Linked DNA regions of Solanum lycopersicum. The protein of the gene in region 1 binds, or shares a complex with, the protein of each later gene. Links are inferred from orthologs where the notes say so. Each region holds a gene or a part of one and is shown on either strand. Other genes may lie near its edges.

Region 1 (3,318 bases):
ATTTAATTTTTTTAATTTAAAATATCAAATTAAAAATAACTTTCGAAAGGCGTAATATGATAAATAAAAATGATCGAAAAAAGTAATAACTATTAATTGTAGATATTGTCTTTTCCTTTTCAATTCTTACCTAATCGTGAGATGATTTCGAAAGGGAAAAAAGAAAGTTATAATCTAAGAGTGGGCGTTCGATATTTGATTTGATATTTTAAAATTTTTGATAATCGTAATTTGATAATTAGGTAATTGATAAATCAAATTTTAATTTGACATGATATTCGATAACATCGTATTAAAGTTGTAGTTAATTATATTACAATGTTAATACTCTTGTTCAAATTATTTCTATTTTTCTGCGTCGAGATACAATATAATAGAACATCAACACAAGTAATAAGATAACAAGAAAAATAATTGACACAAGTAAAAATAAAAAAAACATATGTATTTAGGTTGTTTATGTTTAGTCTTTTAACTACTTTTTTTTTTTTACTTTATACGAGTAATAGACCTGTTGATATATGACCTTCATTAAGTAAATAATTTCGAAAAAAATACCGAATATCAAGTAGTACTAATATCTCATATCAAACCAAATTTTTTTCATCAAATGAGCATCAAGGGCAAAAACTTGAAATCAACTTTGCAGAAAATAAAGATGACAAATGTATACATCAAAGTTTTCAAAATTGATGCATGCTAATTTACAAAAAGAATTTGCTTGCAATAAGCTACAAGTATCTCAGATATTGAGAGTTCTTATGAATTTTCGATTGGCGCGTATCTTTACACGCCAATCCTACAAAAAAAATCCAGCACAAGAAAGTTTTCTGAACGTAACGATTCGTTTGGAAACAGTGGCACGAGCCTGGAAGGATTGGTGGATCATTTGATACTAGATAGACGAACCTGTCGTCTTCTTGTCAGCACAGAGCTTTGCACCATGGCGCTATTTTGCAGTCACTTTGCGTGAAATCGTTGCATTGATTAACTGGAACATAACTGCGCGCAAGAATTCACGACTAGCATCCCAATTCATCAGCAACTAGAGGAGGAATAAAAGAGCAGCCTTGCAGTGTCTGCTCAAAGATATGGCCTACTTTAAGCAATTTCTCCTGCATTCATTTTAGTACGCGTAAAATATGACGAACTTTTAGATGCATACAAGCAAGCATGCTAAAAGAAAAGCAAGAAGTGAAGGCATATAAGTAGTTCATTTTGGAGAGTCCGAGCAACATAGCTCAGAACCGTGTGAGATAAGGTTCAAAATGGTTATAAAAGTCTAAACTACTAGGTGTTTTTATTTCTTTTCTAATCATATTCTACTTCTTCAGGTTTGCTTGCATTAAACTTGAGCATTTATGCTTTCATAGTATCCACACTTTTCATCTCTACGGTCGTACAAAAAGTGAATGTATTCAATACATCTATTTAAGAAGCTCAAGTTCAACTCGGTTACATTTTCAAGCGAAGTAAGTATGTTATCCCTCTTTTACCGACCTTTTCAACTTTCTCAAAAGAGAGATCTAGATAACATGAACTATCCCCGTGCTCAAATATCATTCTTAACACTGGAATATCAACTGGAAATAGTTGGAGTACTGAAACTCACCTCTTCAAATGCAGCACTAATCATCTGAACACCAACGGGAAGGGCCACAGAACTGCTATCAACAAATCCACACGGGAGAACTAATGCTGGAAGACCAGCCAAGTTCACATTGACCTGCCAATAATGAAAATAATCATTAATTGAAGAGAACATAAACTAGACTGAACAAGTTACGTCATCATCTGACTAGAGGGGTTAAAATAGGAAAAAAAACTACTTACAGTCATAATATCACCAGCATACATTGACAACGGATCGTTCTTCTTTTCACCTGTAAATTCCACATGTCGTAGTGAGAGTTAGTGTTGCCTTTCAAGGGAAGGGGATCATGGGACAAAAAGAAAAGAAAACAAAAATGTATTTAAGCAAGATCGAAAAGTAGTTTCATCAGTAAATGCAAAAGGTAAAAGAAGTGTACCAATTTTGTAAGCTGCTGATGGTGCAGCAGGAGAAATCAAAATATCGTTCTCATCTAATGCTGCCCTGAAGCTTTCCCTTACCAAAGTCCTGACCTGGAACAGAGTCACTCTTTAACATCTTGAAGAATTAAGATAAGCAAGAAATTATCGAACACTTGTAAATTGGGGTCATATAACTCGTTAAAATATGAATTATTGCTAGATGATGAGAGTAGCAAAAAGTCTACTAGATGCGTCAACCAAACGTAGTTGGTTCTAACTGCCATGTAGACACATGATCTAAACTCCACTTGACAAATATTTTGGATCCACAAATTCACGGTTAGAGACACAATGAATAACTAACATGAAGATTGTCTTGTGTAAGCATTTATTCAGAGATACAGAAGAGAATCATTAAAGTGATTGAATATTACTTAGTTCTGATTGGATTATATTAGTATCAATTATCTTTAGATGCATGAGTATATCAAGAAAGTGATTGCATTTTAAACTTTAATTGCTATGTGGAGTTGGACTATTCTGAGCACATAGATGTACAACCTGCTGGGCTCGCTTGTAATATGCATCATAATAACCAGCAGACAGAGCATATGTCCCCATTAGGATTCTCATTTTCACCTGTAAAGACATTTAATACATTTAGTCCAATAGTTCTTTTTGACTGTGTGTTGGCGGGCCAGCTTGCATGAAAAGATTACGAGAAAGAAAGGTAGGAGACCCCTTTTAGAAGTAACCACTACAGAACTACATCACACAGAAAAGTTCTTTTCCTTAGTACCTCAGCACCTAAGCCTCCGGCACGAGATTCCCCATAAAGGGAGTTCAACTCATCAGCAAAAACTTGTTTCCCATACCTGCATTTTTGACATCACATTATTCCTTGGGTCTTAATCAAAAAATTTGAGCAAACATTGACAGGTTTGTCATTACTAGTGTAAGGCAGTCTCCCCAATTACATCTTGTCTAAATTATGGTTGCGTATCCACGTATTTGAAATGGCAATGAATTCTTAGTTCTTGCGACTAGTATGGAGTAATTAAAGTAATATATCCGTTTGAACTCATCATGGGCACTCCTAACTACTTTCTATTCTCTTTAAATGGTAGAATTAACAAGAACGAACTTAGTTATCCTCCTTCAATTTGGCAACCAAAACTGAGGGTTAGGGCTGATGAAACCTAAGAAATATCAGAACTGAAGATCGTACTGCTGTTATGTACTTATATTATTTTTATAACGATAACAACATATTCATCAGCATAGAAGCTATGATGGTAGCCAAAT
Region 2 (4,379 bases), on another chromosome or scaffold:
TATCCAAACATGAAATGGAAAAAAGTAGTCAAGTCTACCACTATTTTGAAGAGAATTTTGCTTTTGTAATAATATGGACTATATTCATATAAGTAGAGAAAGAAAAACGAAACTACCAGTACTAAATTCAACTCGTAAAATTGTAATCGAATTGATTTATGTTAATTCTTGAACATTCTCTCCTCTCCCATCTCTAATGGCTTCAAATTTCAAGATGATAGTGCTTGTGATGCTTTGCAGATATAGCGATAACTGGAAAGGGCTGTTCAAAGTCTTCTGAGATTCCAACTGATCACATTTATCAGTAACATTCTTTGGATTGGGAAGGTGAATGTCAATGGCAATGTTATTCTCCTTTGGAAAGCTGTGTGTATCAGTCTGGTAAATAGACTTGATTTCATTACCAAAATGAGCATGGAACTGTACAGATGAAGAGAGGGTGTTGACATTACGCTAATGAGCATGAAACAGTGTGAATGTTGGACATTGGCTAATGAGCATGGAACAGTACAGATGAAGGGAGGATATGTTGGACATAACGCTCCAACAGCCTCCTGGCAATGTAAAAGTAACTAAACGGGACTAAACCAGGCAACAACTATAATAAAATTGTATGATTGGAAAGTGATAGTGGTTCTCCAGTCAAGTACTGAGTTTGGCTACTCTCCTGCTTTGATATGGACTTCTTGAATCACCTGATCTGTCTAACTAGTTGTAGTCTATTTCTTTTGGATGGGATTTTCCATTTAAGCAGATGTAAACTTTCAACTTCACAGAACTAAGAACTAACAAATAGCACAGATAATTTGAGGAGTTTCTATTACCACTTCAAATGATGCAACATAGAGAGCTATAAAGAGAGTGAAGACCTATATAACTTCCACAATAGTATCATAGAGTAGAACTGCTCGAAAAAATCACTTGATGAGTACTTGTGCTGATGGTTGAGAGATTCAAATGAGTGTGTTTCCATGAATATGGACACTGTTTTGACTTAAAGGACGTGCACAAGGTGTTGTAGCTTGATAACTTATGAGGAACATGATTCACTTGAAAAGATTCAAGCATGAGGTTCTGTAGCCTGACAACTTAGATTGATAACTGTGAGGATAGGATACTTTCAAGCTCTAGCAATCGTATTCAACTGACAGTTGTACGATTACCAAAATTGAATGCTTACCAGCAAGAAAATAACACTTAACCAACTCCGGGAGTTTTGGGTCTTCAAGATCAACTTTGAATGGGAGGACATCTAAGAGCCAGTTTGGCCAAGCGGTTTGGAAGCCCAAATTACTTTTTGGGAGAAAGAAACACCTTTTTGGAAATTTGCGATGGTTGGCCAACAAGCAGTTTTAAACCGCTAGGCCAAACCAGCTCTAAAATAACTAGTTAACCTTCAGAGATGGTGAACACTTCTTAGGACACGACTCTTTCCGACCCATGATAATGATCCCCTTACTAGAGGTGTATAACATATAACATGACAAAGAGTTAAAATCACGATTAGTGAAGTCTCTCTGGTATTAATGGAGAAGGGTAAAAATAGAACGCATAAATCATCCACTATGAGTTTCGAAGCTGGATAATGAAACCTCTTTGAGGCTAACTTTTCTTTTGTATCTCTAAGGTTGATTCCTATTTCTAATGCAGGAGTGATGGTGTCTTGGATAAGTCGCGACAACTCTCTTCTTTGCAGTTGTGGAGATGTCAATTGAAACCATAATACTTTCATTTTGTCAAGATTCAGAGGAGCATCAAGGAACTGCTCAATACGCCCCCGCCTTTTCTTCTTGAGACTTTAAATGACCAAACTGAGATGCAAAGCCTTAAACAATGATCAACGATATCTCATGCATTTGCTTCAATTTTTAATATTTCAAGTGTTAATGTATGGATGATCACTTGAAAATAGCTATCGTGAATTCTTACCCCCATACATAAGCAATGCCTACTAACAACTAAATAACATATCAAAATTCTAATCACGATAACAATAACAATAACATATTCAGTAGAGTCTCACAAGGTAGAAAAAATCTTTCTAAAGACCCTCCACTCGACTCGAGTATAGCAAATCAAAGTAGGTAAATCCAATTTGCGACCATATATGAAATACTTTGCTAAGTTAAGAAGTTTCAATAGCACAATTCGATCGGGTTTTTTCAAATTAGCTCATAATTAATCGAGTTGCATGCAAGCTGATCCAAACAATTATACATTGCATCAAAATACATCTTGGAAAGAAAAATGGAGTGATGAAATGAAAAGTACCTAAACAACGTCACTCCTTATTGAGGACTTTGGGAACTTTGATGTAAGGGTCCTCAAAGCTTGGCACAGCAGAAATCAATTCTTCTCTATTCTCAAACTTCTCCGGTACGTCTCCACGCAAATTATCTCCTTCAGTATTTGCTCTAATCGCTGGCTCAATACTCTGTAAATCAACAGCTTGAAGTTGTCCAAACCAATCTACAACTTGTCTAATTTTGGGAGCGAATTCTTCAATTTCTTGTGGATTGAGTGAAATTCGAGCAGTTTCAGCCAAACGTGGAACATCTGGAGGTTCTAGAACACTCGATTTCACGGTGTAGCTTCGAAAAGCCACTGGTAATCGGGAAATGCGATTTTTACTGAAATTGAACAAGGATGTACCATTGGCAGTTCTTGTTGGTTTCAGATAATGCAAAGCACTGATGCTTCCCATGGATGGCGTTTGGAAAATGAAGACGGTGAGGTAGGCGGCGGTATACGGTGGCAGACGGCGGAAGACGGCACCACTGTGAGAAGTCTAGGATTACCAGATTTTGGAACAAAGGGATTTGGGCTTCAGATATCAATCTTCATGGGCTTTGGCCCATTAAATTTTGGGCTGAAATCAACTAAGCTAAGGGGCAAGTGCACAAATAGCCCAAATTTTTAAGAATCTTAAAGCTATATCGAAATTAAAAATTCAAATTTACGAGATTAAAGTTGAAAGTTTTGAGTCTAAAGTTTGATTTTTCGAGTCTAACTACGAACCTATATATACGAGATTGACATATTGTATTACAGTTCAAACTTCAGATGTTTGAGTTTAAAATTATATTTAACAATCTTCATCATTTTTGAATATTAAACTACAATTCAAACTTCAGATGTTAGTTTAGAATTAGATTTGACGGTCTTTATCGCTTTTGGTCCAAATGTCATAAAGTTGAAAGCTAATTAAGCCTAATTTCATATGTAAATGGTTGAAGTTCAACCTATTTGTCTTTAATTCATTAACTACACTTTATTTCTTGGTTGATATATTATCAATTGAAGTCTAATGTTTTTTATGTCATACAACAACTCATAAATTAGAAAATTTAAGTTTGTTTTTCTTCTTCTATTTTTTTTTAAAAAATGGGGGTAGGAAAAAAGAAAATAGGGAGGAGATTGTGAGATGGAAAATTGTATCTACACGAAAATTCGAATAGTCATTGAACCGAGTTACTAAGATTTTCCCATTTAAGTTTTGTTTTTATCAACTTACTATGGAGTAATGTCCTTTGAAGTTAATCTCTGGTTATTTAAACTCACACTCAAATTTGAAACTCTATATCCATAATCAAAATCAAAACTCTGATGTTTGACTTATAGGTGGTCAAATCTTAAAATTTCTACTATTCTTTACACAGTGATAATTCTAAAAATGACTATTTATATCCTTTACCTTCGAAATATTTTTTCTAATACTTTAATTTTCGCACATTAAAAATATATTTTTTCCTAAAAATTGATTGGATTATTTTGTTAATTTTATTTCCATTCCTAGTAGGACCAAAAAACACAGATAGAACTAAAGCCCCTTGATGTGGGCTGGTCCTACTCACCCGTTGCATTGTCTGGTCAAAACAAGGCACAACCATTAATTTCATGCATCAATTATTACTACTATTCATTATTAAATATCTTAGTATGTAATCATGTGCTTCTACTTTTTCTTATAATTATTATTTCTCGTTCGGCATCACAATTTATATTAAAGCTCTGATTAAATTTAGACCATGTATCACAGGGCTCTTTCAAAGGGTTGGCACTTCCAAATAAATTTTCTTCATATCTGTAATTAAAACTAAAAACTTCTGATTAAGATTAAAACAGTTTCATCATTACATCACAATTCGGATCGCTGCTTCTTTTAGTCTTCATTCACCTCAACCATATCTTCTCCTTTGCTATTTAAATACTACTATTTAATTTGGAAAAAAAAAACTTCAATATTGAAATCCAAAAGTATAGTTAGTAATGTCGTATTGTGATAATACACAAGTTTATTTATATACCAAATTTATTATGAGAGGTAGAGTTTGAATTTTAAGTTTACGTATGATAAATTTGTATCTAATTTCAAAATT

What was found. The genes of interacting proteins can lie anywhere in the genome.
Region 2: glutamyl-tRNA(Gln) amidotransferase subunit A, chloroplastic/mitochondrial (region 1) and glutamyl-tRNA(Gln) amidotransferase subunit C, chloroplastic/mitochondrial share a complex: the UniProt entries of both Arabidopsis thaliana proteins name them as parts of the heterotrimeric GatCAB amidotransferase (AdT) complex. The link is inferred for Solanum lycopersicum from reciprocal best matches to the Arabidopsis thaliana genes AT3G25660 and AT4G32915.

What each region holds. Positions count from the first base shown.
Region 1 is NC_090809.1:2,322,214-2,325,531, forward strand, and holds the end of glutamyl-tRNA(Gln) amidotransferase subunit A, chloroplastic/mitochondrial, read right to left. Parts: intron 2,889-3,318; coding exon 2,813-2,888; intron 2,653-2,812; coding exon 2,575-2,652; intron 2,125-2,574; coding exon 2,031-2,124; intron 1,884-2,030; coding exon 1,834-1,883; intron 1,727-1,833; coding exon 1,613-1,726; intron 1,116-1,612; coding exon 1,023-1,115; 3' UTR 618-1,022; downstream 1-617. UniProt on the Arabidopsis thaliana protein: Allows the formation of correctly charged Gln-tRNA(Gln) through the transamidation of misacylated Glu-tRNA(Gln) in chloroplasts and mitochondria. The reaction takes place in the presence of glutamine and ATP through an activated gamma-phospho-Glu-tRNA(Gln).
Region 2 is NC_090806.1:68,144,488-68,148,866, reverse strand, and holds the start of glutamyl-tRNA(Gln) amidotransferase subunit C, chloroplastic/mitochondrial, read right to left. Parts: upstream 2,872-4,379; 5' UTR 2,705-2,871; coding exon 2,282-2,704; 3' UTR 2,272-2,281; intron 421-2,271; 3' UTR 1-420. UniProt on the Arabidopsis thaliana protein: Allows the formation of correctly charged Gln-tRNA(Gln) through the transamidation of misacylated Glu-tRNA(Gln) in chloroplasts and mitochondria. The reaction takes place in the presence of glutamine and ATP through an activated gamma-phospho-Glu-tRNA(Gln).